Cricetulus griseus: one gene and its partner. Each later gene encodes a partner of the first gene's protein in a complex. Links are inferred from orthologs where the notes say so. Each region holds a gene or a part of one and is shown on either strand. Other genes may lie near its edges.

Region 1 (4,413 bases):
TCCAGAACTGGAGTTACAGATGGTTTTAAGCCACCACGTGGGTGATGGAAATCAAACCAGGGTCCTCTGAAGGAGCAACAAGTGCTCTAAACCACTGAGTCATCTTTCCAGCTCATCTATATCTTTCTTAATGGCTACTTTGTATTTTACAATATACACAAATTCTAATGCATTTTATATGTGTGTGCACTTGTGTGTACTTGTCGGAAGCTGGAGGTCAATGTCAGGTATTTTCCTTAATTACTCCTCTGCCTGGTATTTTTCTAGGATTTATTCATTTTTTATTTATGTTTATTCGTGCTTGTATCAGTTTATGTGTACAATTCAGATAGAGTGCTCAGGGAGCTACTTATCTCTGCTTCCTCACCTCTGGGGTTATAAGTATGCACCATTAAACCCAACTTTACGTGTGGGTGCTGGAATTCAGAGCTCATGTCTTCATGTCTGCATGGCTACTGACAGAGCCATCTCCCTGGCCCCTGTTGTAACATTTTATAAAATAAAATATATCCGGCATGGGGGTATGTGTGACTCAGTGATAGAGTCTACACATAGCACGAACAAAGCCCTAGATCTCATCCTCCATATTATATACTTACACACAAAAATTCCCCTTCCCCCAAAATCTTGTAAAATGAATATAGCAAAACTTCATACAAAGAATATACTTAATAAATGTTAGTCATCACTATTTGCTATAAGTCAAAAGGCATTGCCAAACAGTCCATGGTTGAGATAATGGACATGTCTATCAACTTTATTGAAATACATATTTCATCTACTAATAATCTTTTCTAATTATTAAATTAAAACCCAGTATATTTTAAAAATTACTATTAGGTTTGGAACTGCTTTACTTAAGTTTATTGGTAGGTTGTTAATGGTCTCTTGATATTTTACTCATTATTCTACAGGATAGATTTTCCCGCCATGGCTTTTAGTTGATTTTCTAATTTTGGTTATGTTCTCCATATGTAGCCCAGGATGGGCTAAAGACCTAAGGCTGGGACCGGAAGTCTTGATTATTTTGCCTCAGCCTCCCAAAGAGTAGGATTACAGGGATATGTTCTCCTGTCACTTTTATTGGGAACACTAGTTAAGAAATAACCGGAATGAATTCTGGAATCTAAAGACCTAACCTCTAAAAATTCCAACTCTGCATCTTTTGTCTAGTGGTGTGACTTTGGAAAGCTACTTAACATTTTTGGATATAAAAACATCATCTAGGGCTGGAGAGATGATGGCTTAGCAGTTAAGAGCACACACTTCTTTTGTGTACCTAGAACTAACTTTAGGCCACTCACAACAGCCTTTAACACACCAGCTCCAGAGGGTTGGATGGTGTCTTCTGGCTTCTGTAGGCACTACACTCATGTGATACATTCTCCATCTTCACCCCATTGAAAAGACAATCAAAAATAAAGCCAGAAGAGATGAGTCAGAGGTTAAGAGCACTCACTGCTCTTGCAGAGGGCTCAGACTCAGTTCTCAGCACCCCCATGGAAGCTCACAACCACCTGTAACATCAGTTCTAGAGGGAGCTTTACCCTCTTCTGGCCTCAAGGACACCAGGCACACACACGGTGCATATACACATATGCAGGCAAACCACTCACACCTATAAGATTAAAATAAAATATTGCCAGGTGTGGTGGCGCACGCCTTTAATCCCAGTACTCAGGAGGCAGAGACAGGTGGCTCTCTGAGTTCGAGGCCATCATGGTCTGTACATAGAGAGTACCGGGACAGCCAGAGCTACATAGAGACACTGTCTTAGTACTCCGCCCCCGCAAGTTACCTTCCTGTAGAGGGTGAAGTGGGGAAGGGAAAAAGAGAAACCCGAGTTTCTGCATTTAAACTATCTTTATGTCCTGAACTTTAAACTTCTCACTCTGTCCTTCAATTAGGCATACGGGGCTCCGCCCCACAAGAAGTAAAGTTTACTGAATTTGCAAATCATAACCACCGAAGAGCCACGTTCCCAGCGAACACCTCATGGGATCATGCAAGGGGTTAGGCTTCACATCTACCACAAACAAGTTGAGTAGATTACAAGTGTTTGACTGGAGCATGAGCAAATGTCAGAAGAGTCACTTAAAATTCTCAGCCTGTACCCTCCCCTTTGCGTGGCCAAGTTGTGGAATGCTGGGGTTTCAGTGGCCAACTGAGTAAGTTGTTCTTATTTTGGAAGAGAAATTGATCAGTGGCACTCGGCAAATGCAGTCAGCACAAACTGAGCCCTACTGGGATGCTATGGCAGTCAGTGAGAATCTGGAGATTAACCAACTTCCCTCCCCTTTAAGCAAAACCCCAAAATCCGGGAACGGCTTAAGAAGCGAAACTTAAAAGCGCCAAAACCTCTCTTGGGGTCAAGTGTTTTGGGAGCTGCGGTTAGCACAGGAGGTTGTCCCCAGCCTGGCAAGCCTGAAAGACCGCAAGCGGCTGCCGGAGGTCTGGGGGGCAAATCTAAGAAGGGCGGGGATCTCTCCTGTCAGAAGTGACAAGTTCCCGAAGGCACCCATCCACCAGAAGAAGACGCAAACCTCCCAGGGCCCCTCAAAGCTCCCAGAGCCAGCACCTTCCTATGGGCTCACACTTGGCCTGCGCCCACCTCGGGCAGCCCGCCTGGACGGCTGGCGTCGGGGCGCCTCCCGCCTCAGGTCCGGTTCCCGCCGCGAGCCGCCCCCCGGGGCCTCCGATCCGTGAGCCTCCCCCTGCGGATGCCTCTCGCGTGGGTGCTCCCCTCAGCCCCGTTACCTTTGAAGCTGTCCAGCACTTTCTTGTCTTGGAAGCCGCATCCCTTTAGGTAGGAGCACACGTCCTCCACTTCCCAGGTCTGGAGGTCGATGTGGAGCTCGGAGCCGGGAGACGCGCTGGCCGCTGCAGGAGGGGTTCTCTGTGGCGTTCTTGGGCTGCTGTCGCAGCGAGGCCGCTTAGCGGGCTGCTCGGGATCTGCTCTCCTCATGGCTACCTCTGACAGTGTGTGCAGCCAACTTAAGTACCGCGGCACCCGGCTCGCGCGCAGCCGCACTGACGGCACAGCCCCGGAGGCAAGTCCATTCAGCAGCGCCATGCGGGCCTACTGCGCAGGCGCGCTGGCCATCGGCCCCCGGAGTTTGGCCTCCCTGGGGCACTAGCGCCCGGCCCATTGCGCAAGCGCAATGATATGTGCGTTCGCCCTCAACCCGCCCCAGTGTTTCTCCGAAAGGGCGGAGTTATTAGAGAAGCAAAACTCAGAGCTGTGGTTAAGCAGGAGTGAAGGCTGTATGTAGTCCAGGCCAGGCTAAGAGGGCACCTGGGGCTAATGAAGCTTCCACCACACTCCAGATTAAAGGGTCTTCTGGTGGACTGCAGGTACCTTCCTCTAAACAGGTACTTTTTGCTGGGTTTCAAACACTCCAAGCTGTAAGCTTGTAAAAAGTACCTAAAAGGCAACGAAGCGGCCAGTACCATTGCAGTGCAGAAAACAAGGGACAAAGGACTGGCCTAACTGGAAGATCCTGCAATGATTGCCAGCTCTGTCCTTTTGCATTTCACAAATTCACAGTTGGCTGACAGTGGACCACCCTAAGATGCCAGATTTATTTCCAAATAGACAGGAGTTTTACTAATTACTGGTTAGTGCCCAAATGATGGGCATTTTCTTTTGCTTTAAGTCATTTTGGCGCAAGACTCAAGCTTCCTCATAAACCCTTATCCACACATTATTAGTACAATGACCACTGCTAATAAAAAAGTCAACACCTTTTCAGAAACCAAGACACATCTACAGCTAGGTTATTTTAACACCAAGCAGTACGAATTAGATGCTTAGTGGTGAGTTCAACAGCTGCAGGTGACCTTGCTTAGGCATAGAATACTAGCTTGAGGCCCAGTGGGTAATCCCCAGCACCAAAAGAAAGCAAACAGGAAATCTGATAAACTGAAGTATTCTTAGCAAACAAAGTGCCCTGTTGTGTTCAGGCCACTTGTTCTAAAGACTTCACAAATACTGACACATTTAACAAATTTCAGGTGTAAGAAAGTTAAGTACAAAGATGGGGAGGAGGAAAGGAAGAGCTAAGAAATGACAGACAGCTTCTAAAGTCCAAGCTCTAAATAACTTGTTGGCCCAGAAAAACATGCTCCATCCTGTCAACAGAGTATTTGGTGAAAACATCCCACAGTTGTCAAGACTTATGGAACTGAAACAGAGGGTAAAAGAGATGTATTTTATGTCCATGATGGATGACTTGTGATTGTGTGTGTGTGTGTGTGTGTATGTGTGTGTGTGTGTGTGTGTGTGTGTTGAGACAGGGTTTCTCTGTGTAGTCCTAGCTGTCGAAGAACTGGCTTTTGTAGACCAGTCTGGCCTTGAACTCAGAGATCTGCCTGCCTCTGCCTCTGCCTCTCAAGTGCTAGGACTAAAGGCAC
Region 2 (4,341 bases), on another chromosome or scaffold:
TTACTCCTTCAGATTTCTCCTCCATAAAGTTGGCTGGCATTACCTGCCCTGGTCTTGATGCAAGCCAGGCCTGCTGTAAAGACAAATTGAATGATAATGGTCATCACAGCAAGAGACCAGAGATTTCAGAAGCACAGGGGAAAGCTGTTCTGTGGCAAGAGGAGTGACTGAAGACATGCTACATGCCTGTGGCACTGCCATCACCCTCTAGAATTTTTACTTTTAGCTGCTTGTTACTCTAAGCTACACAAGTAAGGGGGAGAACTCAGGTGGGTGGGATAGGGTGGTGGTGGACTTGAGTTTGAAATCTGGGATACTGGCTTCTTCTCTTTCCTCCCTCCCTCCCTCCCTCCCCCCAAGACAGGGTTTCTCTGTGTAGCCCTGGCTCTGGCTGTCCTGGAACTTGCTCTGTAGCCCAGGCTGGCCCTGAACTCACAAATGCCACTACTGCCTGGCTGATACTGGCTTAACAGCCATAGAATCTGTTCACAACAATAGGTCCACAGTGTCTTACAATCTCCATGTGAAAGTATTGACTGCGAGAACTCTATGGAAACGCACAGAACACACTCAGAATTCCAAGAGCAATAATGAGTTGCATCAGGCCTGACGTCTGGGTAGGTCTTGTCAAGATTCTGCTCAATTGTGGAGTTTATCTTTCATGCCCTCACATAGGATCTGTGGGTCAAAGTCAGATCCCCTGATGCTTCTTCACTTTGGTTGGTGATATTAGGCGAGTCATTTACTCTGGGTTTCACTTTCCTCAACTTTAAAATTAAGAAATTGAATTAGATGACCTCTGTGGTTAGTCAAGTCTTGGCTGAAGACTTTTTTTTTTTTTTAATTTTTCTTCCTCACATAAAATACGTAGCAACGAATGCTGTTTTGATTCTTGCCGAGTATGTTTTGAACAGAAAGACAAAGGAAAACCAGTGAGTTTCTTATTAATGAGTACTGCAACTTTTGATACATTTGTGCGAGATTCATTTTTGGCATATTATAAGGCTTATGTGTCAATACCAGTACTACTGAGCCTTACCGATTACACAGGGTAGAATTACGTATTGGCAAAGTTATCAGGCAGCGGTAGTCTGCCGGGCTTTAGAAAGATCGATTCCTTCCTTCACTTTTCGCTTCCGCTTTTGGAAACAGCCAATAAATACACAGCAATTTACGTATAATACAGAAAACTACGGATCCCAGAAGCCAATGCGCTGGGGAGGTGCTTTCTGGTCTTTCTATCCCCCCGCCCTTCCCGCCCTTAAAAGCGGAACTTCATTTCCCAGGAGCCCTATGATGTTCCTCCGCTCGCGCCGACGTTCTCCCCCCGCCTCCCAGCTCGCGAGCCTCGCGCCAAGCGCGCGCGCGCGCGCACTGCACGTAACATGCGAGTGACGCATAATATGTGGGCCGCTCAGGAGCCGTGGTCGCGCTGTGTGTGTGAGTGAGGGAGAGTGAGTGCGGGACCAGAGGCGGTGTGTGTGAACTGTGGCCGCTGGAGGGGTGCGGGGAGAAGCGGCGGAGCCGCCCGCGAAGGTAAGCGGGGACAGGAAGGAGCCGACTCTCTGTGGGGAGCGCGAGGAGAGCGAGCGCGCGGCCGGCTGGGCGGGAGAGTGGGCGCCTCGCTGGGGGAGGGGCGGCACCTGCTTCGGCTGCCGGCGGCGGCGAGGGGGCGGGCGGGACCACCCGGGAGGCTGGGCCTGGGGCCTGACAGGACTTTCCTCCTCCTGATCCCTGGCCCGGGGGCGGGGCCTCAGGCTCTTCCTCCAGTCTTCCAAAGAAGCTTCCTTAGAGTAACTCTTCCGCCCGGAGTGGGGGGCAGGGATGTGCCCGCCTCTACCTGAAGGAGGTGCTCTTTCATTTTCTCTGGTCCGCTCCGAGTCTCTGACGAGCCGAGGGGCTCCCTCTCCCCTGCCGCACGGTGGACCCCTTCCCGGACTGTGTCCCCGCCTCCGGCTTCAGTCACCTGGGCGGGCTTTCCCCTCCTCCGGCTTCGTGCCACCTCCCACTTGCACCCGCCCTGCTCTTGGACAGGGCTAGGGGGAGGAGCTTTCCGGGAGCCCCTCCTACTCCTACCATGCAGTGGTGAGCCGAGGGGCAGAGAGGTGTGTGGGTGCCGACCTAAGGTTGCCTGCCAGGCTTCTTGGGAGCTCGTACCCAGGGCTCTTAGTTGTTTTCTGGTGGGCGGGCCGTTTGCCATGCTCTGTCCTGTTTCTAGAAGGTGTCGGTCTGTTTGCTCTTACTGCAGTGATAGCTCTTTGTTTTTTCCATTTGTTGAGGAATTAACTCTTAGAGTTTTGAATAAATGACTACCACTCGTTTTTGTCTGCCTCCTGTTGCCCCCCTCTGTCTGTCTCCCCCACTCCTGGCTCTCTTTCTCTTCTTCCTGGAACTGGCTCTGTAGACCAGGGTGGCCTCAAACTCGGAGATTTGCCTGCCTCTGCCTCCCCCCCCCAGTGCACTATTAACGCCCCCGTCTGCCAGTTTCTTGTATCTCTTTCCTGTGAAGCCTTTTAACTATTCTGCGTGTTTTAATTATTAATTTATTGTAGCACTATCATCCTGTTGCAAGCCCTTTGTTAATGCTGTAGTTGGAGAGGTTCATTGGTAGCATCACTTGAAGGCTTCCCCCCACCCCCTCCGCCCGTGTTTCCTGGCATTTACCTTTAAGGCTTTTATAAACCTGTTTTGACTTTAGGAGTTGATACAGTATATTTCTTCCAGATGTCAAGATTTGTGTTTGTATATAGCAGTTTTTCATTAACAGTTTTCGAGTAGGGGTATATTTTTGGGTGTTAAGGTAATATGAGGAAATTTTACACATTTCTTGAGCATAACATTTTATTTACATTGTCTTGTTCAGTTATTAAATTTAATAAAATGTAATAAAACGAGCTCCATGTTAAATTGAAGTGATTGGAGTTGGTTTATAACTACTGTTGTTTTCATAAAGTACACAGGACAGTAATAGTTATGTGATTATGTGTCATAGTGTTAAGGTTTTGCTTGAAGCTGTAAATTCGGAATTTCTCCCCTTTCTCCTGTGGTGTTGGGGATTGACCCAGGGCTCTCTTCCTCCCTTATGGCTTTTGAAATAGAGTCTCTGTAACCCAGGCTGGTCTCAGACTTGTGAATGTGCCTCATTCAGCTTTATAAGTTCTGTGATACACGTGTGCACCACAAGCTCAAGTTGACCTGCCTGTCTCCCTCCCTCCCTCCCTCCCTTCCTTCTTTCTTTGTGCTAGGAATTGAATTTAGAGTCTCAGGGACAGGCCTTATCATTTACCTACACCTTTTACTTCTTTTAAGTAAGGGTTGCAACTTTCCTGAAGGAGTGCTGTCTTCCCTCTTTTTCTTCGTGGCACAGGATCTATTTTAACAGACTTTATCTTATATTTGGGGACAGTTTTGCTGAATCTTCTATTAAGTATAGTGTAGAATAGAACCTATTTTTCTTTTTGGGGGGGATTTCAAGGCAGGGTTTCTCTGTGACTTTGGAGGCTGTCCTGGAACTAGCTCTTGTAGACCAGGCTGGACTCAAACTCACAGAGATCCGCCTGCCTCTGCCTCTGCCTCTGCCTCCCAAGTACTGGGATTAAAGGCATGCGCCACCACCACCCGGCCCAGCTTGATTTTTGAGTCAGGATCTTACCAAAAATCCCTTTCGGTAGAAAAGCTAAATGAAGTGATTATCTTTAGTTTCACCAGTTAACCGCTTTGTTGTATATTCTGTCTCTGTGTTTATTTTGTGGAATTACTTCAGGTTGTAGGCACATCACTTCTAAATTCTTTGGCACATTATCTTTTTGTTTGTTTTTCAAGACAGGGTTTTGGGGCTGGAGAGATGGCTCAGTGGTTCAGAGCATTGGCTTTTCTTCCAGAGGACCTGGGTTCTTTCTTAACAACCACATGGCAGCGCACAACTGTCTGTAACTCCGGTTCCAGGGTACCCGATACCCTTACGCAGACAAGAACACCAATGCACATTAAAAAAAAAGTTGATCAGGACAGGGTTTCTCTGTATAGCCCTGGTTGTCTTGGAAGTGCTCTATGGACCAGGCTGGCCTCGAAATCAGAGATCAAACTTGATCTGCCTATGGAGTGCTGGGATTAAAGGCATGCACCACCACCTCCTGGCTGTTTTTTCAAGACATTGTTTCTCTCTGTGTAGTCCTGGCTGTCCTGTAACTCACTCTATACCAGACTGGCCTCAAACTCAGATTTGCCTGCCTATGCTGGTATTAAAGACATGCACTATCACCAGACTGGCTTTTATTTAATATAAGGTAGAATTCAGACCTAGGGTTTTATAATAACATGCAAATGCTCTACCACTGTCCT

The links.
Region 2: the proteins of Samhd1 (region 1) and Dcaf1 are in contact, whole or in part, in a crystal structure (PDB 4CC9), measured with the Homo sapiens proteins. The link is inferred for Cricetulus griseus from reciprocal best matches to the Homo sapiens genes SAMHD1 and DCAF1. Residues at the interface, in NP_056289.2 of Homo sapiens: Ser616, Arg617, Val618, Gln619, Lys622; in NP_001336097.1 of Homo sapiens: Asn1090, Glu1091, Asp1092, Thr1114, Gln1116, Asn1132.

Annotation. Positions count from the first base shown.
Region 1 is NC_048599.1:22,436,234-22,440,646, reverse strand, and holds the start of Samhd1 (deoxynucleoside triphosphate triphosphohydrolase SAMHD1), read right to left. Parts: upstream 3,066-4,413; 5' UTR 2,966-3,065; coding exon 2,758-2,965; intron 1-2,757.
Region 2 is NC_048597.1:215,038,485-215,042,825, forward strand, and holds the start of Dcaf1 (DDB1- and CUL4-associated factor 1), read left to right. Parts: upstream 1-1,397; 5' UTR 1,398-1,536; intron 1,537-4,341. UniProt on the Homo sapiens protein: Acts both as a substrate recognition component of E3 ubiquitin-protein ligase complexes and as an atypical serine/threonine-protein kinase, playing key roles in various processes such as cell cycle, telomerase regulation and histone modification.